Coturnix japonica: one gene and its partners. The protein of the gene in region 4 interacts with the protein of the main gene of each other region in a pairwise test. Links are inferred from orthologs where the notes say so. Each region holds a gene or a part of one and is shown on either strand. Other genes may lie near its edges.

Region 1 (2,432 bases), on a different chromosome or scaffold from region 4:
GCCCCTTCGGCATCAATGGCATCAGCAGCCTCCTTGTCCTGGGCCAGCTCGCACAGCACGCCGGCTGCCACGCGCTGGATGTTCTCCACTGGTGAGTAGAGGAGCTGCCGGGAGAGAACAGGGCGGTGTGAGACTGTGTCCCCAGTGCAGCCCTACATGGACATGTGCACTCCCAGCAGCTGGGAGGTGGCACGGCACAGCCCCGTGTCCCAGCCCCTACCTGCACAAAGAGGGGAATGGTGTTGAGCCGGAAGATCTCCATGCGGTTCATGAGGTCCCGGGCCAGGATGTGCAGCGCTCCTGTACAGCCCTCCACTATCTCCTCCATCTTGACACCATCCTGTGAGGGGATGTGTGCTCAGAGGGTCCCCATGCCATGGTCCCACCATGCACTGAGCGTGGGGACAGACACCCACCCCGCTTGGGGACTCACCGTGTAGGGCTGCTGTGTGCCAGCCGCCACGTGACGCTGCGCATCTTGGTGAGCCTTCACCAGCAGCTGCACCAGGCGTGGGATGACGGCCGCCTCCTGCAGCGGGCCGTGGTTTGCCGGGCACAGGGCCAGGTTGCGGATGAGCCCGATGGTGGCCTGCAACGAGGGCACAGAGATTCAGACAGAGAGCAGAGGCACAGGGCACCCCGCAGCCCACCCACAGCCCCCCCGCAGCACACGCTGCCTCCGGCTTCCTGCATCCTCCTGCACCGGATCCTACACCCCCACAGCGGGGGGTGAGGGTGGGTTTCACCGCAGCAGCAGAGCACGAGCAATTTCCTCCCATTAGCAGCCATTAGCTTGACGGAAACACAGCAGCCGGTGCGCTGGGCTCCAGCTGCAGCTCCCCGCAGCCCCCCCCACCCCTCACCTTGACCAGCGGCCACTGGTTGGGCTGGTTGAGCAGCTTGACGATGGCGGGGATGCCGTAGTTGAGCCGCACGGAGTTCTGTGCCATCTCGGCCTCGGGGTGCCGGCTGGTGAGGTGCCGCAGGGCGCACACGGCCGGCTCGGTGATGTCCTCCTTGTCGCCCGCCCGCAGGATGGTGTGGATCAGCGCCTCCACCCCGTTGGACTGTGTCACCAGGGTCTTGTTCTTGCTGTTGTTGCAGGTCAGGTTGGAGAGCGTGCCGGTGGCGCAGGTCAGCACATTGACGTCGTCAGAGCTCAATTGGTTCACCAGGATCTTGAGGACTCCATCCAGACCCTCCTGCAGAAGCACAGACAGGGGTCAGAGCGGCTTCTCCCTCCATCCTGACTCTGAACAATCCCATAGTGACTACAGTTCTGGCCCCAGCTGTGCAGACAGTGCCAGGAAGGGGTTAAAGTGCTGCAGCCAGAGCCAGGGGACCCGGCTGCACACTTCCACCGCCAGCACAAATAGTTTCCACACTGCATCAGGAGCTAATCTGCAACCCGAGCACATGGGGAACGCATCAGGAGGTGATGAACGGCTGGAAGAGCTCAGAGCTGAGCCCTGGGCACCCCTCGGGCTCTGCATCCTCATGGGGCCGAGAGCTGAGAAGGCAGCTGCAAGATCAGGGTGCCTGGGGATGCTGCTGATGCAGAGCAAAGTAAGGACAGCACTTCAGGATCAGGCTGGCATGGGCACGGGGCTCCACAGAGGTGGCACTGACCCCAGGCACAGCTGGGAGGAGCTCCCCAAAAAGCTGAGCTGAACACAACGCGGCAGCCCCCAGACCCACCTGTTTGGTGGCCACATCAGAGAGGTTTCGCAGGGTCCAGAGACAGTTCTGCACCAGCCGGGGGCTGGAGCTGGTCAGGTGCTTGCCCAGAGCCTGCATGCCACCTGCCAGAGACACGAGACACTGGGTCTATAAATACAGACATGCAGCTCCCGGCAGAGAGGAAACGGAGCCGTGGCACTGCACAGCGAGTACAGGCTGGGTGCCACCCGGCTGCCGCCTCCAACGCAGCACGTCGCTCAGCAGAGGCTGACTGCTAAATGTGGAGCAGAGCAGCTCCTGCCCGCCAGCCAGGCCGGTTCCTGCCCACACACAGCCCCAGAAAGTGCCTCAGCAGACACAGACCCGGACATGGGCGGTGGGACCCGGCAGCTCAAGGACTGGCGTGCCACACAGGGCAGCTGCCCGTGGGAGGGATGCAGCAGTATCACTCTTTCTTGGGGCCCCAGGGGCTGCACTGCACAGAGGGGTGGGCAGCAAGCAGCCAGGGGCAGTCAGTGCTATGGGAGGGCGAACAGCATCAACCCAAAACCCCACAGAGTTCAGGAGGCGGCCCCAGAGCTCTTACCAGCCTCGACGATGGCAGGTTTGTTGCTGGGACAGACTGACAACACCTTGAGCACCCGGCTGGTGGTCCACAGCAGCTTCTCATAGTTGTAGCTGCGCATGATCTGCACCAGGGCTTGGGGGCCTCCGTTGGCCAAAATAATCAGCTGCAAGGTAAGGGGGCAGGG
Region 2 (3,665 bases), on a different chromosome or scaffold from region 4:
GAAGGGAAACACTGTGTTTTGTTTCTGTAACTGTAAGGCAGTCCACAATTTCGGGCCCCAAAAGAGACCTTTGAAGTTAGCGGCTAAAACACATAAAGACAGGAGTTGTTTGTTTCTGTCCATAGATAATTTTGATTTTGTATTTATTCCTCTCGAATATTTTTAGAAAACATAAATAAAGCTCAGATTGTTTCTAACTTCTTGTTGAAAGGTTTAGCCTGTATTTTGTTGCTGTAACAGGTAAGTGACAAAAGAGATTGTGTGTTGTGCTGATGTTGAGCTCTGTCACAGGGGTAAGGTGTAGTTCACCTGAATGCCAGGCTGCTGGTCCTACAGTTGCTTTTCCTCTGTGCTTTAAACTGTAATAAATATTGTTTACTTATGTATTTGTTGAATATGGAAATCAACACAATCTGTAAAGAGTTTGTAAACTTACTGTCTGTGACTTCCTTGTCCTTTTAGCTTTTTTCACCTAAAACCCAGTTAACATCTTCCGAAAATACTTGCACGTTATTAAAATCTAGTGAAAATAAGTCACCAACAAGCTCTTTATCCAATCACTCTAGAATGATTTCTGACAAAAGCTTTTTTGTAAGTTGCTTTTAGTATGAAGTTCTTGATTTAATATCCTCCTTAGCAGCTAATGTGGGAAAAGAATATGGAAAGCCTGTCTTTATTTTCTTTTATTTTCTCCTTTGAAAATAAAAAGAAAAGCATCATGAACACATGCCAGATGTTGTATATTTTGGTATGATATTATTTCCTGAAACGTGGAAATTCTGCAGTATCTGTCAAAAGTCAGTATTTTGACCAAAGTGTATCTGTATTTATTTTTTTTTTCCCCAGAATCAGAGCAATGATTTAAGTGTCGCGTCAAGTTCTGGTGTACAGCAACATGCAAATCCCACAAAGCCAGAAAGCACAGAGACTTCAGAACAAAACACTTCATTACAAGTGCAAGATCAAGTAAGTTTAATTCAAAAGTATATAAGGTACTGCTTCTTTATTTAGTACCAAAAATGCCTGCAGCATCACTTGCTGAATGTTTTGTGCTTAACTTTAAAATAAACATATTTGGAAGTGTAGATTCAGTTTAAGAATGGGTTTTAGTATCTATTCTCATCTCCTGACTGTGCTTGTCTGAGATCAGCTGGTATGATTCATCACCTCCACCCCCACTTAGATAAACCAGTGGGTTTTAAGACTCTTAGGAGCCTACAATCCATTTTTCATCTTAATGCTTAAAAATATAAGATGGTGTCTGCGCTACTCTGAATATTCAAATGTATTTAAATAGGTTAACTTAGAATCTGGACTGTCATGGACTCTATGCTGTCAGTCAGTGATAGCATAGAGGTCTGTGTGAGATGACTGCAGAGTGAGGAAGCAGACAAAATTACCTCTGTCACAGTGACAGAGTGAATATGGCATCAGTCAGTTGTATGCTGTGCTGTAGACTTGAAAACAGAAGCTCAAGCCCTCCCTTTCCCACGTTTGAGACCTGTACTTAAGGTCTGTCCATGCTGCCTCCTAACCTGTAGCTATACTCCTGGTAACTGAAATCATTGGTGAATTGCTGGATTTTCTGTTGGTTTTTTTTTCTGTTTTAGATTTCAGCTTTGCCTTCCTTCTTTGGCAGTAAGGAATATCTCCCAAAAATTTTTTCATCAATGTCAGTAAATGATGTTGCTCAAGTTTATGGTAATTTAATTGCGTGTACAGTGCTTAGATCTGTTTCAGGTAAATGTTAGATGAATGTTCAGTCAGCATCTATCTACGTACTTTCAGATTCTAAAGCCTACTGCTACTACTGTAACTGAAGATTAAGCCACAGTTGTTTTTTGTTTTATTAAAAATAAAAAGCTAGTGAGAATAACCTGTGCTTCACTTAATTGTCTTTGAACCATGGGAAACTTTATATGAAGTAGTATAATCACTGGAGTGGTTGAAATATGGGCTGCAGAAGTTTGATTGACTTCTTTTTCTTGTAAGGGTATATAAACAAGGGACCTGTGGCTTCATACAAAACTTTCTAGAAATTTGTTTTAAAATAATAATTTGTGCTACATCTAAATTCTCTGTATCAACTTGTACCTGCTTACAGTGCCACCCAGTGGGGACAGAAAGATCAGGAGCAGTTCTCTGTATAAAATACCCCGCTGAGGTGACCTGGAAATGTCTGCCTCCAGGTCCTTCCTGTAGCTTTACTGTTATGTTTTGAATGCAGTAAACCTTCATTTCTGAAAAAGGAAATGCCTGAGCAGAATGTGTGCAACCTTACATTTAATACTTGTAGACAAAATATTTAATTTGTAGTAAAAATAAATAATTACTAGTTCAGGTTAGGATATGAGTAGCAAAAAATTTGTTTATGTTGATGAGTTAAAACAGGAGGTGAAGGGAAGCTTCATGGGATTGCTGGCTGTCACAGTGCCCTCCACCATCTCAACAGCACTTCTGATTTAGAACCAGCACAAGTGATAGACTGACCCCTGGCAGCCAGCTCTGATTGCTGCATGCTTGTGCTTGAGGCCTGGAAGCACATAATTAGCTGAACTTGCCAATCAGTAATAAGTAACAAAGGAAAAAATCAGAAAGGTAAGATTCTAGTAAATTGAAACGAAATAATTAACAAGTTTACAGAACAGGTAAAGCAAAGTACTTTAGTGCCTTTTCTGTTGAGTAATTTAAAACTGTAGCTGCACAGATACTGGGGGGAGAAAAGCTGGTTACTGTACATGATACTTTACTTTTGTGAAGCTGGATGGGTTCAAATACAGTATGGAGATGTTTGTTCTCAATTTCATTTTTAATAATATGAACTACTGGAAGAATGAAAAAATCACTGTTTCAATGGTAAGAGGACATTTTCACCTCATTAGAGCAAATGACCAGTGAAATTAAAAACTACTGTACGTTTAAGTACTGTGAGATTCTGAAACCCCTCCCAGGATGTCACATTTGTATGTTGGTTTCATGTGAAGGATGTCACAGATTGGGGAATGGAAAATCAATGTCTGTTCTGTGGTATTTAGAAGTTCAAGTTATGTATCCAATTCTAAAAGAATTCAGTTGTATCATAAAATGTTTTTGTACCAGTGGTCAGCAAAACTGAACTAGGACACTGAAATTAAATGTATTAGTGCCAACTCTGGCTGCTAATTCACATGTCTCAATGTATCTGAAATGATTTCTGGAGATACCCTCTGGGCAACACTCTGTTCCTATCAAGTAGAATGATTGTGTTACCTTCTTTGCAAGCGCCTGCAGAAGAAGGGTCTCCATAACACAGTGAGCTGATTACATGCTTAAAATACACCTCAGCCAGAGATGAGACAAGAAAAGGAATGTGTTGTGTACCTCATGTTGGAAATCAACCCAATGTTCGTGACTGTATTCATGTGAGCGGCTAATCTGACTAGGATCAGAGCATGGTAGATAGCAATGAGTTAATAAAGAGAAGCTAGTTAATTCATCATACTGAGGTTAAAAGCAGAATTTCAGGTGGAAGAGTTAGTTTTCTCGTAACAGATCTTTTGTCCTTGAAGAATGGGTCTCTAAAATGATACGGTTAGTGGAGAAAATTTGAGAACAGCTTCATAGGAAGAATTCCTAGCATAGGAATTAACGAGGTTTGCGGCAGTAGAATGTCCTAACTGCAAGAT
Region 3 (3,665 bases), on a different chromosome or scaffold from region 4:
AAACTCCTTTCCAAAACTTACGTACGCACAGCTCTCAGTATGCCTTTCTTTCCTAGAAAAAAAGAACAAAAAGAAGGAACAGAAATCAAGTAGCCTAACAACAGATGCAGGGTCTGCCTGTTGCTAACTTGACAGGGGAACCAGGACAGGTACAAGGCAAGTGCATCCCAACTGACTAGGATAAAATCAGGGATGCCAGGTTCTCCTCTTGTAACAAGCGGGTAAGTCAGTTACATTTAAAACTGAGCACACATGTTTCAGAGGAACAGCTCCGGCTTCTAAGCTACTATAAGTCAGAACTGCCCACAGTACCCTGAATAAGTCTCATCTTTTCAAGAAAAAAAACCCAACAACCTTTACAAAACAAAGTGCAGGTCAGAGCATAAAGAACCGTTCTCATACAGGACAGCCAGGTACATTTTCTCCCTGAAAAAAAGGAGCTCTCAGCCAGTATGGAAGGTGCCACAAGTGCAGTGCACTGACTGACTAGTGTAAAATGATGCCACTCAGTTTAAAAATACAAACAAAACCAATGTGTTCATACTCTGAGAGGACCATTAACCATTGAAGACAGTGATTTTCCACCTTCCTTCCTCATTTTTTGCTTAGAGCCACAAACCAAAGCATTTAGGGCTGAACAATGCTTACTGGGACTCTCAGGACTTTGAGAAACTATCAACACAGTTCACAACTGATAGCTTTTGAAGGAAAAAAAAAGTCCTTAGTTTGTTTTAAAGTGTATGTACAGCCACATGGATTTCCAATGCTACCATGAGGAAGGCTTTGTCATGAAAGTCAATGCTTGTGTATGAAGTAAGTGCTACATACACAGTGAAGACAAAAGAACCATTGCTATTCAAATGCTAACAGCCAATACGTATTGCTGCAGGTTTATAGGTAAGTTTGTTCTCACTAATATTAATAACACAGCCTGCAGCATGTGCCTTTGTCCACATGTGTAAATACAATAAATGGAGCAGTGCTCAGAAGCAAGCAGTCAGGTACCCCTGATTTGGCCACAGCATTTAGTAGTTATATACCTTGCCATATGAACACAGTCCTAGTAGGTTTCAATAGAGGAGGATAATCTATTAATGATGTATCTGGAAGAAGTTTGGCATGCATGGGGCATCAAAAAGAAACTTTACTGCAGGTGCTATTTATCCTATAGGATCACAGTGCATAAACAGCAACAGAAAAGGGCAACAGTGATTTGACTCAAACAGTTCTGTCTGTCCCTGAGTGCTTTCTGACCACCTTGCTTCCATTGACCTGATCCACCGCCAGCGTTTCAACCTCTGGCTGAGGCTGGGAGGGCGCGACGTGGTGGATGCGATGTGCCACTCCAACGTGTGCCTTGTGTGGCTTCTCTCGGGCTGGGCTCTGCGATTCACCCGATGCTCGATCCGAAGCAATGGGTGGAATAACCAGCGGCCTCTCCTTAATAAGATGGACCTCTGATGTTTCTCTGGCCAACAGAAACGGAGTGGGATCAGGCATGGCATCCACATGCTCTCTTAACAGCAGCTTCCGACTATCGGATCCTATTCTGTAGGCCTCTTCAAACTCCGGGTTGAGTGGTGTTGACAAACTCTTCTTCATTCTGCGCCGTGGAGTCTCAGGCAGTTTATCTTTGGGAGGGGCTGGCTTATAGCTGGACAACACTGGACTGCCTGAAGGGGTCCCCTCTGAAGTCCCACTTGAACTCATCAGCTTCTTCTTAGTAGCGTGCAGTTGAGAAGTTAAATAAGCAATAGTGCTCGCTCTCTGCTCTAGTTCACTCGACAGCATATTGAGCTTATGGCTTTTCATTTTTAACTCTTCCAAATACTTCTTTTCTCTTTCTTTAATAGTGTTTTCCAGCACCATTATCATTGCATTCTTTTGTTCAAGTTCTTTCAATAATTCATTGTTTTCAGCCTCTTTGGCTTTCAGCTGAGCTTCAAGATCTTCACACTTTCTTTTGAGTTCATCACTTCTTGAACTAATGTTTCCTAGAACAGGAAAAGCAGAAGCATTTCAAAGTTAGTAGCTGTCATTAAGAAAACTGCTGCAGCAGGGTTCCTTTTGGCATTCCAAGGCCACAGGAAGAGCCCAAAGACCAACTTCTGCCAATACCGTAGCAATTACTTCATCTTCAGAAGCAGCAGGATGGCTTTTACAGGAAAAGGTGAAGAGTTTGTGCCACTGACTGTATTTAAAAGATGCTTCATTCACTGAGGAGAACAGATTACAGAAATCATGCTTGCAGAACTTGCTCCAAATTGGAGCTATTTTGCAAATTCTCTGACCATTAAGACTCTCAGTTATAAGTTGTTAGATGTTGTTCATAGTGGACAACAGTGAACATCACTATTAAACCACCTACTCTGAAAATCCTGTGATGAAAAGCATCTGAGCAGCACTGCAGTATTATGAAATAATGCTGAACCCATGCAGTTCCTCACTTGCTTTGCTAAATATTCATGTTCTCTCTTACTCACATGACATACATTGTCCTGCAGTAGCCCAGATTCAGGAGGTTACTCCCAGGGAGCATTTAATTAATTCCTCTGCTTCACTTGTTGATAACATAATGCAGCTGAGCTGACTAGCAGCTATGCGAGCTAACTTCTAATTAAACAGCCTCACTCCTGCTGCTAAAATTCATGTTCCCATAAAGCCTGTTGGGAACTGACTGTCTATTAAAAGAAAGCAGTCAGTGGTTCTACACTCTATTCCTGGATCTCTCAGACATCTCCTATGTGACCTTGTTAAACTTATTGTCAAGGTTTTATGGTTGTTGTTATCAATATTCCAAACTGTAACACTGTGTAATGCACTGGGAGTTAAAGAGTTAATGCTCCAGTTTGTGGATGGTGGTTAGTTCATTGATAACAATGATTCTGGAAAGGAGAAAACTACTCTTGCACCATTTGAATTTATAGTCAACAATATCCCATATGCAAAGTATTCTCAGCTACTTGTAACAGAGAAAGTAAAACATTAAGAAACGAGGCAGTTTAACATGAACATTAAAGAAGAATGCTACGTGTTCCTTACCTGACAAGTCAGAACTCTTCACTGTCAGCTCATAGGTCAGGTCTGGGGGAAGAAATAGTTACTTTATTTTTTAGAACAAGCATATTTAAAATAACGGAGATGTGCTGCATGTTATCAAATCTTGAGCAACCAGAACAAGAAGGTAACAGGTGGTTTTTTTTTTTAATCATTGAGCAAAGAATTTTCTTTATTTCACACTTGTCATGCCCTGAGATACATAAACCCAAAGCACACACTGTGATGGGCTCTACTGCCCAGCACTTTCCCCATCCTTGTGGGAAGAGACAAACCCAGCACCAGCACCAGCACCATCACCCTCCCCAGGTACCTGTGCAGTGCTGCTGCAGGCGCCGGATCTCGGCATGGAGGCCCTTCAGGGTGCTGGCATGTTCTCTCTGGAGAAACAAGAGGTTCTTCTGGGCGCTGTGCAGCTGGTTCTCCAGGTTTGACGTTGCCATCCTGGCATGCAGTGACTCTGTCTGTGGGCAGAGGCAGAACTGTATCAGTGACTTCACTTGCAGATACATACATATAAAGAGCCTCACTCTGCAGCCTGGTCCAACAGAATCAGCTGAATGATACCATTAATGAATTGATATGCAACCATGCAAGTGCCACACAAG
Region 4 (4,105 bases):
CCAGCCTCCTGCCAGCTGCAATCAAAAGTCTGCATTGTTCTGATGGTTTGCTGTTTGGAAAGGAATAAGTAAAGATATTCACCCATTAATCATATATTAAAATGCTAGGTAAGAACAAAGTATTATTGTTGGAAAGACTGCCTTCAGCATGGGTTCGCTTTGGGAACAAGCTTTTGGCCTTTTTGTTTTATTTCACTTTTAAATTCAAATCTGGTGAAAAATCTGCACTCGTATGCATGTTCCTGCATTTTTTCAAGCTAAATATCTTGGGCTAGTGTTTAGAAAAAAACAACAAGCAACACTGATGTTTTGCTGCACATGATTGGAATGCTACTTTTGCTTTTCTTGTTTTGTTCTGTTTTGTTTTGTTTTTAAGGGGGAACACTGTCTGTGTAGCAACAACGATAATTTAACACTAAGAATCCAACCAGAATAGTTGTTTTATTCCTATTGTTTTAGTCTTAGACCTGAATGATAGGCAAAGAATTTGAGGACATGAAAATGTTATTTTCACACACAACTTCTTCGGTGCTCAATTTACTACACTCTGCACATCAGTTGAACATAACTGCAGGATCCTGGGAAAAAAATGGCCAAGGGGAGCAGCAAATCTGGCTAGGGTAGCTCCCAACATGTGCTGGTGGCCCACGCAGAGCCAATGTTGCAATCGTTGGTAGGAAGTGCTACCTTTGGTCTGTAGCCAATTTACAAAACTCATTTCATCAGCACTAGGGACAAGTAGATCAGAGCCGTGTATGGAACTGAGCAGGACAGACCATAAGTGCAGTAGAACATAGGGATGTGCAGAAGTATCAGCTGTGGTGTTTGAAGAAGTTAAGCCTTCCAAAGCATTCTTGAGGGGATAGTAAGCCTTTAGATAAGATAGACATGTGCAGACTATTTGGTATTTATCACTTTTTTTCTTTTATTTCTGATGAAATTATGTTCTGTTCTTCACATAAAAGATGGAACAAGCTTGTTCTTAAGCTCACTGTCTCAACACAGTCTACACTAATGGTCATCACCCCCTGCCAGAGGAAGCCTGGAGAGCACATCCCAGACAAGACAAGCTAAATGAGGTCAAACACACTGTCAGTGATATCCTACTCAGTGGAAGATGGAAACATGGGAGCAGACTGATAAGCCACATCTATGTCATGAATCAGAGAAGACCTCAGGGTACTCCCAGGTACTGCAACTCAATGATCTCTCTAGCCAGCTGAGCAAACATCAGCTTGGGCTCTCCCATTTGGGAGTGAGTCCCATCTATGTGGCTATTTTGGTAATTGTATTTTTGATACAAGAAGCATGTAATGGCACGGATATTCAGATTCTGGATTCAGAGCATTGCAGAGGGTATTGCATGTACTGCTGTAATGGGGGCAGAGACAGCCCTGAGACTGGATTCAACTTCTTCATGCTGATGTGTTCAGTCAACATTTGATGTGAAAATCCACGTCCCAGCTAAAGTCAGCAGATCTCCAGCAGTTTGGGATCAGCTAACGGCCTATCCTTTTGCCTTTTAAATCTCCACTTAGGGATTGAGGTCAATTCCTAGAGCTTTGAAGTGAGGTGACAATTTACATGAGCCTTAGGTTTGGCTCAACTGGGGTTGATAGGGGCCTGAGGTCCTGTCAAAGCCTACTGAACAATGGCTGCTCAGTATTTTGGAAAAATAAGCCACCACAAAATAACTCCTTTCATTTCATTTCCTAACACAATAAACAAATTCTAGCTTAAAATGTGATAGTTTTAGTTCTTGGACTAAAAGTAAATATCACCTTTGTATCACTCTTCATGGTCGCTGGATGAAAGAGATTTTCCTTATAAGGATTTTTATATTAAAAATGTGTGCACAAATTCATCCAAACACATATATGCGTACGCACAAACAATCTTATTTTTCCCAAGAGGTCTTCTTTTATTGGCTTCATTTGAAAATTAATGCTCTCATGAGATGAGGTTAAAAGTAATTTAATGTAACAATGGCCTGATAATTGGCATTTGGCAGTTATTGCTAATGCTATTTTATAGTCTGGTTCTGAAGAATTTGTGCTTTCATACGCAGACATGTTTTAGTGCTTTTCTTTCTTTTCCCTCTTCACACAGCTGCTGTAACCCATATCAAGCAATTGTTTAAACAAGAAATCAACAAGCATCGCTTGTGATTTGGCTTTCTTTCCTTGCAGGCTGTTAGGAAATGGTCTCAAAGAGGGAAAAAAATAAAATGTTCCTTCTGCCCTCTATTTTTCCCCACTTTCATAAAGAAGAAAATGCTGATGGAGAGGAAAAAAGAACACTAATCACACACTTTCCGCCTGAAGTCATTCAGTTTTCTATTCAAACCAGGAAAGTGTCTATAGTTAGACATGGTTGTATTCCTTGAGAACATGGAAACGACAGCATATTATTAGTGCAGAAACTAAAGAACAGCTGCTATTTAGCACCTGGTTCCCAACAACAGGCTGGAAATACAAAGTCAGATGCTCTGTATGTGCCCTGGCAACAAGGAACGAACAAACAACCGAAAATCCCCTTTTCTGGTAAGAAAGAAGCCCTCCCCTTGTGATATCTGCCCAAAGCCTTAAGAAACTTCCAGCCCCTGTTACAGAGGGAAGGTGAAAAGAAGAAAAGGGGCCAAAGGATGGTATAATCCAGACTGGTCACTGTCTTACCTTGCTGCAGCTCGGTGGTGCCTCTGTTTGTGAGAGCGCGAAGGATGGGAGCAAACACAGGGACTCGTGGCTTCATTGGATTACCCACACTATGTATTTAGTAATTAGACAGACATTTGTACTTCAGATGAGCTATAAATATAATATCTCCAGAGCCCCAGGCACCCAGAGGAGATAAGGACTGCAGTACCTCTGTGCCACCGGCCTTTTAAGGCATCACAGATATAGCAACACAAGGCCCCCAATGGAAAGGGCTGCTGTCCTCCTGACCTGCTCCATTTCAGAGTGCTGGATCTCAAAATACACTCACCTACTTTCAGGAGTTCCTGCGAGTGTTCCTCAGAACGCCAGAACTATTATATGATTTGATATTTTCACTGAGCTATAAGCAACTCTAACTTCTCCATCAGATTATTCCCCAAGGCTCTGGGATTAACAGAAATGCCAGCTGCTCTGTGGATGCGGTGAACTCCAACTCCCCTTCATCTGTTTGTCTGTCCATCCCAGGCATACAGCCTCACTGCAGGGTGGTCTGTCTGCCTCATTGTGCTCTATTTGATCCCAGGGGAAGACAGTGGCAGCACAAATCAGTGGTCACAAATCAGTGGGTATGGGCAGAGGCCTCAAAGCTCAGGAGCCTGCTTTCCCTGCTGGGCCCCTGCTCTCTGCAAGGGAGGTGTAGAGCAGAGGTGTAGGGGACACTCATACATATAAGGAGTGAGAGATTAGAGGTAAAAGAGAGGTCTTCCAGCAGATCCTGTGGGCACTGCCCTTCTGGCTGCAGAGATGAAACTGCCCAAACAAGGCTCAGTGCAGAATCAGGACTGCATCCTAGCTCTTTGCCCATAATGGATCCATCTCTATATTTTGATGTGTTTCTACAGAGCAAGATGCAGCACAGTTGTGGTCCTTGATCAGAATGTTGTACTATTTTAATTTGCTTTTTAGAAGAAGAAAAGGTAATCCTCTTCAACACACAGATGAAGAAAGAGCATTGGGCAACCTCTAGGTGCAGAAAAATGACTCTCCCTTACACGGCAACATATGTCTTAGAAGAAATACTACGCTTTTAAACTGAGATTATCTGTTGTTTCTTCTCCTGCCTGAAGCAGGATTATCTGCCATCAATCTCTCTGTTGGATTTATCTATTACTTCCACGGTCCCAAAGAATGCCCCGTTCTCTACATCCCCTTCTCCTCAAATTGTTGGTAGTTCAATAGTTTTTAGGAGGTCGTGTCACCTCCCAGTTCTTCTCTGAACACTTTGTTTGGTCAAGCTGTGGAGACTGGATACGGACACAAAATTTGTGCCAGGGTTTTTGACATGACAAATGGATTTATGGCTTGATTTGGAGCCCAGTCAGGTTTTATGGTTTTAGCGCCAAACCAATCAGAAGTAGGCATCTGAAGGGTTCATCCTGACATAAAAA

Evidence for each region.
Region 1: the proteins of FHL2 (region 4) and JUP interact in binary tests that used the Homo sapiens proteins (3 or more experiments, as listed by UniProt). The two-hybrid records come from large-scale screens. The link is inferred for Coturnix japonica from reciprocal best matches to the Homo sapiens genes FHL2 and JUP.
Region 2: the proteins of FHL2 (region 4) and DCP1A interact in binary tests that used the Homo sapiens proteins (3 or more experiments, as listed by UniProt). The two-hybrid records come from large-scale screens. The link is inferred for Coturnix japonica from reciprocal best matches to the Homo sapiens genes FHL2 and DCP1A.
Region 3: the proteins of FHL2 (region 4) and CCDC92 interact in binary tests that used the Homo sapiens proteins (3 or more experiments, as listed by UniProt). The two-hybrid records come from large-scale screens. The link is inferred for Coturnix japonica from reciprocal best matches to the Homo sapiens genes FHL2 and CCDC92.

What each region holds. Positions count from the first base shown.
Region 1 is NC_029542.1:4,295,944-4,298,375, forward strand, and holds part of JUP (junction plakoglobin), read right to left. Parts: intron 2,412-2,432; coding exon 2,267-2,411; intron 1,803-2,266; coding exon 1,699-1,802; intron 1,203-1,698; coding exon 864-1,202; intron 590-863; coding exon 434-589; intron 341-433; coding exon 221-340; intron 105-220; coding exon 1-104. UniProt on the Homo sapiens protein: Common junctional plaque protein. The membrane-associated plaques are architectural elements in an important strategic position to influence the arrangement and function of both the cytoskeleton and the cells within the tissue.
Region 2 is NC_029527.1:4,964,615-4,968,279, reverse strand, and holds part of DCP1A (mRNA-decapping enzyme 1A), read left to right. Parts: intron 1-846; coding exon 847-966; intron 967-3,665. UniProt on the Homo sapiens protein: Necessary for the degradation of mRNAs, both in normal mRNA turnover and in nonsense-mediated mRNA decay. Removes the 7-methyl guanine cap structure from mRNA molecules, yielding a 5'-phosphorylated mRNA fragment and 7m-GDP.
Region 3 is NC_029530.1:4,125,627-4,129,291, reverse strand, and holds part of CCDC92 (coiled-coil domain-containing protein 92), read right to left. Parts: intron 3,522-3,665; 5' UTR 3,501-3,521; coding exon 3,371-3,500; intron 3,085-3,370; coding exon 3,043-3,084; intron 1,995-3,042; coding exon 1,219-1,994; 3' UTR 53-1,218; coding exon of another isoform or gene 35-52; 3' UTR 1-34.
Region 4 is NC_029516.1:121,913,066-121,917,170, forward strand, and holds the start of FHL2 (four and a half LIM domains protein 2), read right to left. Parts: upstream 2,803-4,105; 5' UTR 2,676-2,802; intron 51-2,675; exon of another isoform or gene 1-50. UniProt on the Homo sapiens protein: May function as a molecular transmitter linking various signaling pathways to transcriptional regulation. Negatively regulates the transcriptional repressor E4F1 and may function in cell growth.